Arabidopsis thaliana: one gene and its partner. The protein of the gene in region 2 interacts with the protein of the main gene of each other region in a pairwise test. Each region holds a gene or a part of one and is shown on either strand. Other genes may lie near its edges.

Evidence for each region. Proteins that work in one complex are often made in the same cells at the same time.
Region 1: the proteins of AT5G42440 (region 2) and RHA1A interact in a protein complementation assay, tested with the Arabidopsis thaliana proteins (one large-scale study listed by BioGRID).

The regions. Positions count from the first base shown.
Region 1 is NC_003075.7:6,903,291-6,910,677, reverse strand, and holds RHA1A (RING-H2 finger A1A), read right to left. Parts: upstream 3,191-7,387; 5' UTR 2,902-3,190; coding exon 2,422-2,901; 3' UTR 2,236-2,421; downstream 1-2,235. Other genes in the region: RHA1B (RING-H2 finger A1B), read right to left, coding at 4,139-4,612; AT4G11350 (transferring glycosyl group transferase (DUF604)), read right to left, coding at 6,518-6,622, 6,703-7,245. UniProt on the Arabidopsis thaliana protein: Probable E3 ubiquitin-protein ligase that may possess E3 ubiquitin ligase activity in vitro.
Region 2 is NC_003076.8:16,970,477-16,978,320, forward strand, and holds AT5G42440 (Protein kinase superfamily protein), read right to left. Parts: upstream 4,402-7,844; 5' UTR 4,038-4,401; coding exon 2,958-4,037; 3' UTR 2,726-2,957; downstream 1-2,725. Other genes in the region: AT5G42430 (F-box and associated interaction domains-containing protein), read right to left, coding at 836-2,023; AT5G42450 (Pentatricopeptide repeat (PPR) superfamily protein), read left to right, coding at 6,821-7,844.

The sequences.
Region 1 (7,387 bases), on a different chromosome or scaffold from region 2:
TATTTAGTATTTAAAATTCAAATAAATTAGATGAAGTATGTAGATTTAAATTTAAGTTTATTATGATGGAATAGATTGTTAAAGTGTATAGAAATATGAAATATGTATGATTAAAATTTGGTTTTAAAAAAGTTAGTAAATTAAATATTAAGAAAATACAGATTACTTTTTAGAATTCATACACCATCAATAACTTATATATTCAATCCAACTATTTAGGCGTGTCTTATCTAATTATATAAAAAATGTAGAAAAAGACCTACTTTAAATAGTAATTTTTTAGATTGCATTCATTATTCACATAACATAAATATATTCTTTTTATATACTAATTTACTTGGAAAAAAAAAATCTAAACACATTGGTTTTATTAACCTTTCATTAGGTTTATTTGTTCCAAACACAAATTGGCAGAAACATGATTTTCTTTGGTTTAAAGCATTGATCATATGGAGATGTAGACATACATATTTCAATTATACTTTAAGAAACAAAAAGAATTACATATTTTAATGTGAGAGCTTTTGACAAGTCGTGCATATCATGAACCTTCCCAGAATCATCATTAGTATTGAAAATTTATTTACACACATTGGAAGACTGAAGATTCAAAAGTGTACACTTGACTTGACTGTTCAATTTCAACGGTTGCGTCATTCACTACTTCAAATGAATGTAGACGATATTCGATGTATTCGTGGATCCACGATTTGTTGACAAACTTTTACCTAACTTTGGTTTTTCTGATTAAAAAAAACGAAACCTACTAAAACAAATAAGATTCTTGTATACTAGGAATTTAGTTTAGTATATACTCCATATCAGTTACCTATCATTATCAAATGGTACACTCTGTAGCTAGGAGTAGGACATGGCAAAATATTCGTTAAATTTGATTTGATTATTCAAAAAAATTATAGACATAATAACTCAAAGCAAATATTAAAATATGGTATATGTTTTAAACAGAGCAAACAAAACACAAATAACAAAAGTAAAAAGGTCGAATATCCTGCTTTAATCCATATTTTCCATGTACATATACTATATGAGAAATGTGTATTTTTTATTAACTTTTTTTTTTTTTGACAAATTCATATATTATGAAGTACGTTGAAGTAATTTTAATATGATAAAAAGATTTAACTGATAAATATAATCATGAAATAAATAAAAATCATTATTATTTTCGATTTTTATTTCTTTCGAAATAAAATGTTTCCGAAATTGTTATTATTTTTCGTATATCAAAAATGAAAACATTTCTTCAAAAGATGTAATATCTTTGAAATAAAATGGAGTTTTAAATAAAAAGTCTTTGATTTAGTTATTATTTTCTTTTTAAAAAACATCGTTTTTTAATACCTAGTTAGTTGTACATATTTAATCATTCTTTAGTTTATATAGTATTAAAAACCATCAGAAAAAAACATATGTTTAATGAATTTTGTAACAAGAAAATATATTAAAATAAATTATAACTCGGTACATTGATCTGATGATAATAGATATAGTTAGGAGTGTCAAAATGGGTCAAAATTCATAGGTCAACTCAACTCAACTCAACCCATGAACCTTAATGAGTTGAAAATTTTGACTCAAATGAGTTGATGGGTCAAATGAGTTGATGAGTCAATTGGTTTGATGAGTAAAATGAGTTGGGTTATAATGGTTAATGGTTTCAATGGTTTACCCAATTAACCCATTAAGTTTTGTAAAATTGAATTAAACCAACTAAAATCTCTAAACCAATGTCAATTTAAGTTTAATCAACACATCTAAACCAATTTAATAAAATTAATATTTTTCCAAATTTCTTAAATATACAAACGATGAAATTGAGAAAAAGTAAACTCGTAATTTTTTCACCAAAAAAACATAAACCCGTGATTTTTCCGCCAAAAACGTAAACCCGAGATTTTCCCGCCAAAAACGTAAACCCGAGATTTTCCTGCCAAAAACGTAAATCCATAATTTTTCCGCCAAAAACGTAAACCCGTGATTTTCTCGTCGAAAACGTAAATCCGTAAAAAGTGGAATCGGTAAATATCCTAAGTTTGATGATAATGAATTAATATTGATAATTATTTATTATTATTTTATAATAATAATTAATTAAATTACTATTTAAATAGGTTAACCCATTTAACAACTCAACTCATCAAATTAAATAAGTTATGGGTTGACCCAACCCATTTAACAAAATGAGTTGGGTCAACCCATAACTCATTTAACCCTAAACTCATTTGATTATGAGTTAAGTTGAGTTGGGTTATCCATTTTGACATCCTTAGATATAGTGTTGTTTTTGTATAAAGATATATATAGTGTTGTTCCTTCAAAAAGATGATCTATGTTAATATACATAGAGTTATACTGGAATTGATACAACAAATATTCTGCCGACATAGATTAAACCAATTAGTTGGTACTTTCCACTTCATCACTAAACCAATCTGAACCAGAACCCCAATCAGATTGCGTGTACTTTTCTTTCGGTAAGAACCGGTGCCGACAAACCGGACATTTCATCTTGTTGTAGTCAACGATCCAACGGTCTAAACAATAATGATGAAACACGTGTCCACACTTGGGTAGCTGCCTAACCTTATCGTCGGACTCAAAATCTGACAAACAAACCGTACAACAATCTTCCGGATCGGTCGGAAGATCCGAGAACCGAACCACCGGGATCAACTCGTTAGCAAGACTCGCTGACGTAGAGAGAGCGTGTCGGGTCAGATCGGGTGCAGAGGTCTCGTTGTGGTCTAGAAAACGAGGTAGACCAATGTAAGGACAAAGAGCATCGACGATGTCTCTAAAGAAACCGATGACGTAAAGTATCTTTAATATGTAACTTGGAATCTGAAGCTCGGTGATGAAATCTTCAGGAAGACCCATGATTTAGAGAAAGATAGAGAAGAGAGCTAGATTGAGATGTGGAACTATAGAGACAAGAATAAAGTGTGTATAATAAAAAATGGTGAGATTTATAATTGTGTTTGGAGTACAATTCAAACCGGCAGCTGAAGATAAGTATAACCAAATTGATGTCAAAACAAAAGAGAATACATATTCTATATACTTTTCTTTGCAAAACGGTGAATGGTTGAATTTTAATAACACAGTTTAAAGACTATTGACATCAAGGAATTTTAATAACACTGTTTAAAGGATTTTTCAAAGAAAAAAAAGTTCTTTAATACTACTTCAAAATGGTAACGACTATTCAGAGACTCCATCCAAAAATTTATAAAGTTTTACAAACGTATAAAAGTAGTTTGTTTAAGTTTTCTTATAAAGTTACACTTATTTAGGTATATTTCAGATTTTAAAGATATTTTTGATAAATGTTTTAGAGAGATGACATTTTTGAAAAGTGGTAATGGAAAATGTGCATTTCTAACAATTCTTCCTAAATATAGTATATGATTTTAGCAAAGCAAAACTCAAATAATATCAGTTAAAAAGTCGATTATCCGCTTTAATTCAAACTATGTCAATTTTGTAGTAGTTATATAAAGTACAACAGAAAGAATTTAAATATGATAAAAAAGATTCATTTGATAGATATTATGAAAGGCAAAAATTTGTTTTTTTCGTCGAAAGACATATAGATTTATAGTGGATGAAATATCTTCTAAACTATTATTTTTTTTGAATAAAATATATTGCTTTATATCAATTTTGACAAAGACTAAGGTAGTTTACGTATTAATTCATTCTGTAATTTATAAAGTACAAATAAAAATAGTATCATGGATTTTAATAGACAAATTAAGAGTTTCTTTAAGATATTTTTCGGTATAAAACTGTTTACAAATTCTATTTGGTAGAGACGAATTAGATTATGAATACTGTTTTTCTTCAAAAGAAAATGAATTCAGATTCCTAACATAGCGATATACCATAACACTTGATGTGTTTATTTGTCCACTTTTTTATTCAAATAAAAGAAAAGCAGATTACATTGGAAGATTTTATACAGACGGTTCTTTAACAAAGAAAGATGATTGATGCTAATATACACAATTACATAATCTTATACTTGAATTATACAGTAGTTTGGAAGAAAGAATTATACAGTAGAAAAATATTACCGTGAAAAAAGTAAAAAGTAAAAGTAAAACCATCATTATTAGTTGGTACTCTCCACTTCATCTCTAAACCAATCTGAAGTACCCCAATCAAACGGCGTGGACTTTTCCTCCGGTAAGAACCGGTTCCGACAAATCGGGCACGTTATCTTATTACAGTCAACGATCCAACGGTCTAAACAACGATGATGAAACACGTGTCCACACTTCGGCAGCTGTCTAATCTTATCGTCGGATACAAAATCGGATAAGCAAACCGTGCAGCAATCTTCCGGATCGGTTAAAAGATCGGAGAAACGAACCACCGGGATTAACTCGTTGGCAAGAGTTGCTGACGTGGAGAGAGCGAGTCGGGTCGGGTCGGATCGAGAGGTCTCGTTGTGGTCAAGAAAACTTGGTAGACCGATGTAAGGACAAAGAGCATCGACCATGTCTCTAAAGAAACCGATGACGTAAAGTGTTTTTAGTACGTAACCTGGAATCTGAAGCTCTTTGAAATCTGTTGGAAGACCCATGAGTGTGAGAGAAAGATAGAGAGGAGAGAAAGAAAGAGATAAAGCTTGAATTGTTGAATTATAGAGACAAGTATAATATATAGTGAGATTGATGTTGGAGTTATAATAATTGAATCCGGCGGCTCAAGATAAGTATAGTCAATTTGATCAACAATGGTGGGTCTTATTTAGTGTATAATGTAAAATAGTAAAATATTTTGCTTGGTATAGAAACAAAGAGAATATATTAATACAATTTTCTGTGATAGATAATGTGGTGACGTTAAGGGTCTTCTTTAGTATATACCAAAACAAAAAAAACAAATTTTAATATTAGGTAGAAATTTAATACCCGAATGATGGATTTATTGGGATCTTGACATCAGGGATTCAAGAGTGGATAGTGAAGATATGAACACGATCTTGAATCTATAGGTCCTACCAAACTAAAATCATCTTGAATCCATAAGAATGATTCTCTCCTTACATGAGATATTATATACTTCAAATTTCATATAGAAGAGCAAATGGGGATGTAGCTCAGATGGTAGAGCGCTCGCTTAGCATGCGAGAGGCACGGGGATCGATACCCCGCATCTCCATTTTTTTGTTGTGAATTTATCCTTGTTTTTTGTCGTTTTATTATTCCCACTAAAAGATACACATTCTTTGATATTGGGCCTTTGGTACGAAACCCATAATTTGGACGCACTCATACTTTAATTCGCACGCATTTAGACACTCTTTAGTACTTTATTATTCAGACATAACGGTGATGAAGTCATCTTGTCGTAGTTCTATATTCGGTTTGCACAAAGAGACACAATGAATTATCCAATGTCAGAGCGTTTCACTTTGTTTTCTCAGAAATATCTTTAAAGTTTTGTCATGCAGAATCTTCAAAATTTAGCAACACACTGAGTTTTCAAAATTTAGCAACACACTGAACCTTCAAAATCTAGCAACACACTGAGTTTTCAAAATTTAGCAACACACTGAACCTTCAAAATTTAGCAACACACTGAGTTTTCAAAATTTAGCAACACATTGAGTTTTCAAAATTTAGCAACAAACTGATATCAAATTTGTAATCCTTAGCTTGCAAATATAGAATTTGTTGTAGTAGAGACATTTTGAATCAAGTAAAGATGTAATCATATTATATAAGTTACTATATGATCCACGTAATGGCTAATCGCTTACCGGTAATTGAAAAAGAGAAACAAAAAAATAATGTTAAAGACTAGTCGATTTAGTATAAGTTTGTAAGCTAAGAAAGAACTGCAGTAATGGATGGCTCCACCATCTTATTTAGCCTCTATATATGGCCTTCAAGATTGTGATTCTGATTTATGAATCATCTTCTTCGGTTCAACAAACAAATTTTACTTCAAAAAGTAAAATTTTAAAATAGGTTATAAAGACTTCAACACTAGACTATTTAGATTCTACACAAGTGACCTAAACCAGAAAACCTTGTCTATACATGATCAAGACCTGCCTTAAATTTAAGATAGTTGCAATATAGAGCAAGAGTAGAATGAAATTTCAGTTGAGGAGGATTTTAGCAATTACCATTAGACTTAAATTACAATGACACTTTCTGCTTTTTTACATATTGTTGGAGCAATAACATAAGTTCTCACTAATGACATAAGTTCTCACTAATAACATAAGTTCTCACTAATAACATAAGTTTTTCAGAAGACTAAAATATAGTTTCCTATATATTTTCTTCCTCGGTACTAAACCAACTGGCTTTGGCGAAATATTTCACGGATTACAATGGAATAAATTGAGATTTGGAACTTAATAAATGAGATTACGAGGAAAAATAAATTAATCAGCAAAACTATATGGTTAAAAGCCTAACAAAAACCCCTAATTATTTTTCTCTTTCAAAATTTTCTTAGTACAAAATAGAAATTACTTTACTTCAGTGACTTCACCTGCTCTACATACACCAACATTGATCCATAATGTATTATTCCTCTTTGTTTGTAATACTCTGCAACAGTTTCTTCTAGGTGACTGCCAAGAAAATACTAAGCATTAACAGATTAATTTAAAATTTCCAAAAATGAATCTCTCAAAAACAAAATATCACTTACTCTGTTCCATAGGTGAGGATCGGGTTTTTTGTAGACGACTATAGTGTTGATCTCCTCTGGGTTAGCCATATCCCATCGACAAGCCGGTTGCGGAACCCGATGTCTCGTGTATTCGCTAACCGTCGTGTTCAACTGCGGGTCAAATTTTGCACTCGACATGTGAAAAACAAACGGTTTTTGGCAATGATTGCGACTCACGGGCCTAGTATTGAATGCGTAGGCGGTGTAATCCGCTCTTTTGTACCAATTCAAGAAAGTTCTAGATGGCATTTCCATTTCCCGGGGAGAGAATGATCCACGGAACACCTGGACCGCAAATCCCCACGAGACTGAAATAGTCCAGCTTTTGTGTTTGTCATAGCATATTGATTGTTGGAGAAGCGCAGCCGAATCAATCTTCATCGGTGTGGTTAGTTTCTTGATAGCGCGAACACGAGTCATGTTTGGAAAAATCGGTTCCACAACATCAAGATGGTGCATCGATACAAACGGTGTTATCGGATGGGCAGCTAGGAGGCCGAAGAGATTCCCATGAACGTCGTACTACATACAAATAAAATCACACACAATTGAATCAAAGAAATTTGAAGAAAGGAGCGTAGACCTTCACGCGCTATATTGCGCGTAGAGTAAAAAAAGAGTCACAAGTCTTTAAAGACTTTTAAAGGTTGAAACTGACACACGC
Region 2 (7,844 bases):
ATCTTATAGAATATGACATCAAATGTAGAGTATATTCCATTTGATAAAACATTCATATGGATAGTGAAAACAAGAATACTGGAGAAGACTTAAAAGAACTTCTGATAAAAACATTCATATGCTCCCAAGTAATGTGAAAATTGTAAATGAGAAGGGGAAAAATGTTATTTAATACCTGAACTTTCAAAAAGTGGCCAAATTAACCGTGAATTTTTGAAATGGCCGTTTTATACCTCAACAAAAAGTTGACTTCTAATTTAACCTATAAGTTATCGTTGACCCGGCCAAATCGACTCACCATTAACACTTCTTAACAGCTCTCCTAACAGCGTAACTAACAACTGTTTTTGTCCTTAAACCAACAATAACGGCTGTTAGGCCATGTTTTGTAACGGCTGTTAGGAGCGCTGTTAAGGAGTGTTAACGGTGAGTCTATTTGGCCGGGTCAACGACAAATTATAGGTTAAATTAGAAGTCAACGATAAATTATAGGTTAAATTAGAAGTCAACTTTTTGTTGAGGTATAAAACGACCATTTCAAGAGTTCACGGTTAATTTGGCCATTTTTTGAAAGTTCAGGTATTAAATAACATTTTTCCCAAATGAGAAGTGATACTCACAGGCCAAATAGCTAGAATGTAATAAATGTTATGAAGAAAACTTCAGTCATGGTTGTGATTTGAATAAAACAAAAATGTACTGCAATATTATGAAGAAAACTTGCAAGGGAAGCATCAGTAAATTAACCATCATCAAAAAGACCCAATGCATTGAATTTGCTAGCACTTGTTCCAGGTGAGCACCGAGCTTCACTTGATGATCATCTCTAGGTGGGTTAAAGCTTCTGTTCTGATGGGCTTATTGATGTTGCATCATATTCATATGTTTTCTTCATATGTTCTACAAAGGCGTAAACATTAAGATCCTCTACATGGTCTACAAAGGCGTGAACACTACAACAGCTTTGGTATTCTCCAAAACCTTGGATTTCAACACTTAGGAGAGTGTTCCTTTCGAGATTAAAGTAGAAGACATAAAACGGCTTACATACCTTTTTCTTCGCCAAAACAATTTCACCTGTAGCAGTTATCCCAACAATAAAAAGATCGTAGTAAACCTTAACGACTCTATCCTCATCCCTCAAAGTGTACACAGATGTTGTCCATTCCTGTTTCTCCACATCCTCTAGAACCCACATACATAACTTAAGGGGAAATCCACCGCCATGAGCATACTTCAAATTAACCACACCTAATTTACCTTTATAGTATATCAATTTAGTAGATCGTTCAGAAAAACAGTCTTGGTTTAGATTTAGACATTTGAATTTCTCGGACCTGACATCAAAGCAAACTATATACCCCAAGAAATCATCAATGTTATAAGCTATGTAATACAAAGCCCCATTGATGCATATCCATTCATGCGAAACAATATGGATCAAGGGGCATTGTTGGATCTTCCTCCATCTCACTTTTCTAGTTCCCAATGTCAAAATATGAATGTCCTTTGTTTCATTATTGTTTATCTTATTCATGAGCAATACCTTGAATTGCTTGCCAACCGGATCAAACAAAAAAAAGCTTCTCGTCTCTCCATACGTCAACAACAATTTAGGTAACATCGCATAATGTCCCGTGCTAGGGTTACATATGACATCTGCCTTTGTGATCCACATAGCAGAGAAATATACCAAACCAGAAGTATAGTTACAAATGTTTAGGTTTTGAGAGAACTTCGTATGAAAATCCGCAGTTGCTACAAAAGATGACTTCCCATATGGATTCTGAGGCTGAGGCGACGAGAAAAACCTCCACTCACCGTGTTTTGAAAAGGCAAATAAGAGACGTGGACGAGCTGACGATATGGTCAAGAACAACTCGTTGAAATATGGACGGCAAAGCATGGAACCCCATAGCTTTGAGACGCAATGAAACCTAGTGATTGACTTTGCAGGCAATCTCGAGAGTATCTCAAGAATGAGATCGATAGGGATGGAATCTGAGTTTTCTTCTCCATTCATGATCGTATTTGTATTTTCTTATCTGATGAGAGATATGAACACAAAATCGGTGAGACTCTTAAATAATGTATCGTACGATAAAGTTTGACCTAATTAATCAATCTTATTCATGGTTTTCGCTAACCTAGGCCCAAGAAGCATCGTATGATTGTATGAGTATATATATGTTAATTGTAGTATCTTTCCTTATTTATCATTATTCATTTATATATTTTACCAAAAAAAATAAAATCATTTATATTTTTTTCCTGAAAACATTCATTTTATACTTTTCTGAAAACAAGTCTTGATAATTAATCTGAATTCTTCTTAAACAGTCTAATCAAGGTGTTTAATTTTATTTTTGGAGTCCAAATTAAATAAAATGCTTGCAGAAAGAAAGAAAGAAGCATCTCTTATCTCATAGCAGAGAACAATGGTTAAAGTATGATTGTATATTTGTATGGCACGATAAAATAAAGCTCACGAATCTCTCATGTTTAGAATAACTTCTTTTATTCACTTTACTGCAACAGTACGTGTGTGTGCTCCTTCATCTGTCATGGTAAACACTAAACAGTTCCAAATGCCTTTTTACCTTTTCTAAATCCTCAATTCTAATGATTTTAAATGAAACCTAAAATTGATAGAATCACTTCAAGTTTTGTTTTCTTTGCAATCATTCAAAAATCAATAGAATTTTAAAGATTGACAGAAGATCCTAAAAGTTAATTATCTCAGCCGATGTTTAGCACATAGACGTAAAGTCAAAAAACAAAACACTCTAGTTCCTAATACATAAATCTCTAAAACTAAAACGTAAATAAGCAGAACATAGAAACTTATTTTGTAACTTCTTTTGGTCCGAATATTTTACCCAATTATTACAATATGTAACGAACTTCACTTGTGTGATAAAAAAGACTAATTACATTTACCTATTGGATTAATATGACTACATAAATCGACATAACTCCTCCAATAACTCCACCACTTGAACCATAGTAGGCCTTTCTCTAGTCGACTCTTTAATACAAAGACAAGCAATCCTAAAATACTCTTCCACTCCCTTCTCACTACCACAAACACCTCCAAAATCCAACATTTCATAACACCGATTTTGCTCCACCATGATCACAGCCCATTGAGCCAACCCAACTTCCTTCTCATCCACAACAACCGTTAAATTCGGCCGTCTCCGCGTCGCCAATTCCAACATCAATACACCAAAACTATAAACATCAGCTTTAACCGTCGCCGCGGTATTCCCTTCCCAATACTCCGGTGGCATGTACCCCATCGTCCCCGCCACTTGCGTCGACACATGCGACCTCGACGCATCGATCCTTCGCGCCAATCCGAAATCCGCAATATGCGCCACGAAATCCGAATCCAACAGCACATTACTCGATTTGATATCTCTATGTATAATTGGTTTCGGTAAACCATGCAGATAAGCTAAACCCTTGGCCACATCGCGCGTGATATTCACGCGCGTTGACCAAGTCAATGGACTGTTCTCTTCGTCAGTCTCGTGTAACCAATAGTCAAGACTACTTTTCTCTAAGAACTCGTAGATAAGAATCCGATCTGATCCCGAGATGCAATAACCGAGGATCCTAACTATGTTTGGGTGATTGAGACGACCTAGAGTGTCCATTTCGGCTGCGAATTCTCGGAATCCTTGTAAAGCGTCGTGATCGAGCTTTTTAACGGCGACTACGACGCCGTTTGAGAGCTGAGCTCGATAAACGAGACCGAAACTTCCGTCGCCGACGATAAGATCCGATGAGAAGTTTTTAGTTGCTATAGTGAGTTCCGCCATGGATATTTCACAGATTGATGGATCGAAGCTTTCGGTTACTGTTTCCGTGTTTAGATCGGGATCGGGGTCGGGGAAGTTACGATTCCGGCGAGGATGGTTTTGGATTGGAGGACGACGGCGACATACGATCATAACGACGGTGAAGACGATAAGCAAGAGGAAGATGGAGCTTATGCTGGTGGCTAGGATTAGTGAGATTTGGTAATCCATGGATAGTGTTTGGGATCAGTATGAGATTGAGAGAGAGAGATTGAGAAAGAGAGAGTAAGAGATGATCCGCCATTGATAGTGACGGAGGAGGAAGTGTAAGGTTTTGATTGAGTCGTAGTCGTAGATAAGACAAGTCAACGATTGTTGCTGGAGAAAGTCTACGCAGGTTGTACACGTGTCTTGACGATATTGGTGGTTACGAAGTATGTGTAAAATGCTTGAAAATTTCTGCTATGAAGTGGGAATTTCTTTACTTGATATCAAAATTAGTTAGCTTATAGTTTTGGAACAATTAAACTACAAGGTTTAGTTGCTTAAACTAATTTATACCCCTAAGACAATTTTCAATGATAAAGTGACTCTATTTTTTTTCTTTAATTATAAATTTGAACAATTCAAAGTTTAGAGTTTGTGTTGAATTCTTATATTTTTTATTATTTAATGGTAGAGTCATGCATGGATTTCTTTAAGAGAAATAAATCATACTTTTAAAATGATAAATTATAAATATTTTGGATTCTAGTAAAAGCATTAAAATAATTAGACCAAACTCATCTAATAAAAGCATCAAACACAAACTCATTTCATTACTTGTTACCTAGACCAAACACACCTAAGGAAAGCATCAAACACGAACTCTTTAAGACAACATCATTACTAAGATAATTAGACAGAACAAACTCATATCTACATAATTTGCTTTCATTATTAGAGAATTCAAGGGTTCAGAACAAAATCATATGAGCTCAAAACCATAAGAAACCGTAAAACTAAGCGAAACAGAACAGAACATACGTCATAGGACAGACAAAATGGTCTTAAAACACTCGATTGAATTGGTTTAAGAAAAAGTAGAAGAATACACTGTCACAGATTTTCGTTTTGTTTGTTTTCGTTTAAAGATCTTGAGTTGTTTTGTTTATGCTTATAATTTGTGGGGTTCAAGTGTTTCTTGTCATGATTATGATTAATATTTGATCCAAATACTATTTTTAACATCCGTAAACATTTTGTTATGTACTAAATTTATTTTTAAAAATAACATGCTGGGGATGATACTATATTTTTTTTTTTTCCCCAACTTTTTTTGTCACTGTTTATTATAAAAGGGATGATACTATCTAATGTCCACCAAAGAAATCAAATCAATTTTTTTTTATGACGAAAAAGAAAAAAACAGATCAAGAGTCAGAAATCTCGTGTGGAAAATCGACGCTCATCGCGTCTTCAAGACACTAGCGATCGATGTATTTGATTTCATCAATCTCTTCAAACCTAAGAAAAAAAAGTGCAGACTGAAATTAAGAACTGAACAAAAACGAGATTTGGAGTATGGTATAGAAGACGGAAGCTGAGAGATGAAGATGACATTATATAGGGCACAATTATTTACCCTAATTTCCATTGATTTGGGCTTTTGTGAAGCCCAATAAGGAAAATGGGTTCACATTTTAAAAATGTTCAAAAACGTGTTTAAGGTTTTGTATAAAAGGAACGTAAATAGGTTTTTTATTCCTCACTTCTCGTCAGAGTCTTACGCCGCAGGGCTCATCGGAGTTTCAGGTTCTTCTTCTTCTCTCTTCCTCCACCTCCATTTTCAAAGATTTTACGATTCAGACTTAGTTAGAATCTTAGTCGAATCAATAGAGAACTGATTCAGAGTTATTTTGATTAGAGCTTGATTTCAAATTTACTGTTTATTGAAACGAATTAGGAGGAGAAGAAGAATGTCTCACAGGAAGTTTGAGCATCCAAGACATGGTTCTCTTGGTTTCTTACCAAGGAAGAGAGCTAATCGTCACAGAGGAAAGGGTATGTCTTTTTTTCAAACTTAGGACTGAGAAGGAAATAACTCCAATGGGAGGATTCGCACATTACGGTATAGTGAAGGATGACTACTTGATGATTAAGGGTTGCTGCATGGGTCCAAAGAAGAGAGTTGTGACTCTTCGTCAGTCACTGCTAAGGCAGACTTCTCGTCTTGCGATGGAGGTGATTAATCTCAAGTTCGTCGATACCTCATCGAAGGGGGGACATGGTCACTTCCAGACCAGCGAGGAAAAGGCCAAGTATTTTGGTCGTGCTGCAAGAAAGGCTTAAACCAAGTCTCTATTCTTTTATTAGCTCGTCTTTAAAAATTCTTTGAAAGATAACTATTTTTTGAACCATCTGTTGCAATTTTGTATTTTAGTTATTTGGTGAATTTTTAACATTTTGCTTCCGTTACTATTGTTCCTCAAATTTCTTCTAACTAAATTATTATGAATCAGATCTTATATAATTTTTTATAAGATGCAAGTTTTATTGAGTCTATGACTAACTGGTTAGAGTAAAATAGAGTGCTCATGAACTTTTTTAGAAAACCAGAACTAAAACGTAATTGATTTGAATAAACCAAACCATTTTTGAGTAAACTCTAAACCAATCCGAACCAATTTTGATTGGAATTTATTAAAACTAAATTAACCGAACCGAATCAAATTGAATCACAAAACAAAGAGAGCAAAACCCAAACTATTTTGAATAAAACCAGAGCTAAACCGAAACTGATTCGAACAAACCAAATAAATTTGAATAAAATCTAAACCAAACCGAACCAATATTGATTGGAATTTATTAGAAGTAAATTAACCGAACCGAATCAAATTGAATAAAAAAACAAAGAGATTGGTATGAGAAAACCCAAACTAAACCAAGAGTGAATTTGGAATCAAAGGTTAGAGAATTCATCTTCGTTTGCTTGTTTTTGTTCTCTCTCCCAGTTCCTGGGTTCACGACGAGGAATGTTGCATATGATTTTATCTCAAAGAGTAATCCTTTTACGAAAATATCACTCTTCTGCAAATGCCCTTGTTACCAAATCACCAAATTCTATCCCCGAGTTGGTTAAACATATTGATTCGGATCTGATACGTAATGCACATAAGGTGTTCGACGAAATTCCTGAGTTAGATGTCATTTCTGCTACAGCGGTGATTGGTCGCTTTGTGAAGGAAAGCAGACATGTGGAAGCAAGTCAAGCCTTCAAAAGGTTGTTGTGTTTAGGCATAAGGCCAAATGAGTTCACGTTTGGCACGGTCATTGGGTCTTCTACAACTTCGAGAGATGTCAAATTGGGTAAGCAGCTTCATTGTTATGCGTTAAAGATGGGACTTGCGTCGAATGTGTTTGTTGGTAGTGCGGTTTTGAACTGTTATGTGAAACTGAGTACGTTGACAGATGCTCGTAGATGTTTTGATGACACTAGAGACCCAAACGTAGTTTCTATTACCAATTTGATTAGTGGGTACCTTAAGAAACATGAATTTGAAGAAGCTCTTTCGTTGTTTAGAGCAATGCCTGAGAGAAGTGTTGTTACTTGGAATGCAGTTATTGGAGGGTTTAGCCAGACGGGGCGGAACGAAGAGGCTGTGAATACTTTTGTGGATATGTTAAGGGAAGGTGTGGTGATACCTAACGAATCAACCTTCCCTTGTGCTATAACAGCCATATCTAATATAGCTTCTCATGGTGCTGGTAAGAGTATTCACGCCTGCGCTATAAAGTTCTTGGGGAAGCGATTCAATGTCTTTGTTTGGAACTCTCTGATCAGTTTTTACTCAAAATGTGGGAACATGGAAGATAGTCTTCTGGCTTTCAACAAGCTCGAAGAAGAACAACGGAACATTGTATCTTGGAACTCTATGATATGGGGTTATGCGCACAACGGAAGAGGAGAAGAAGCTGTAGCCATGTTTGAGAAAATGGTTAAAGACACAAACCTGAGACCAAACAACGTGACAATCCTTGGAGTATTATTTGCGTGTA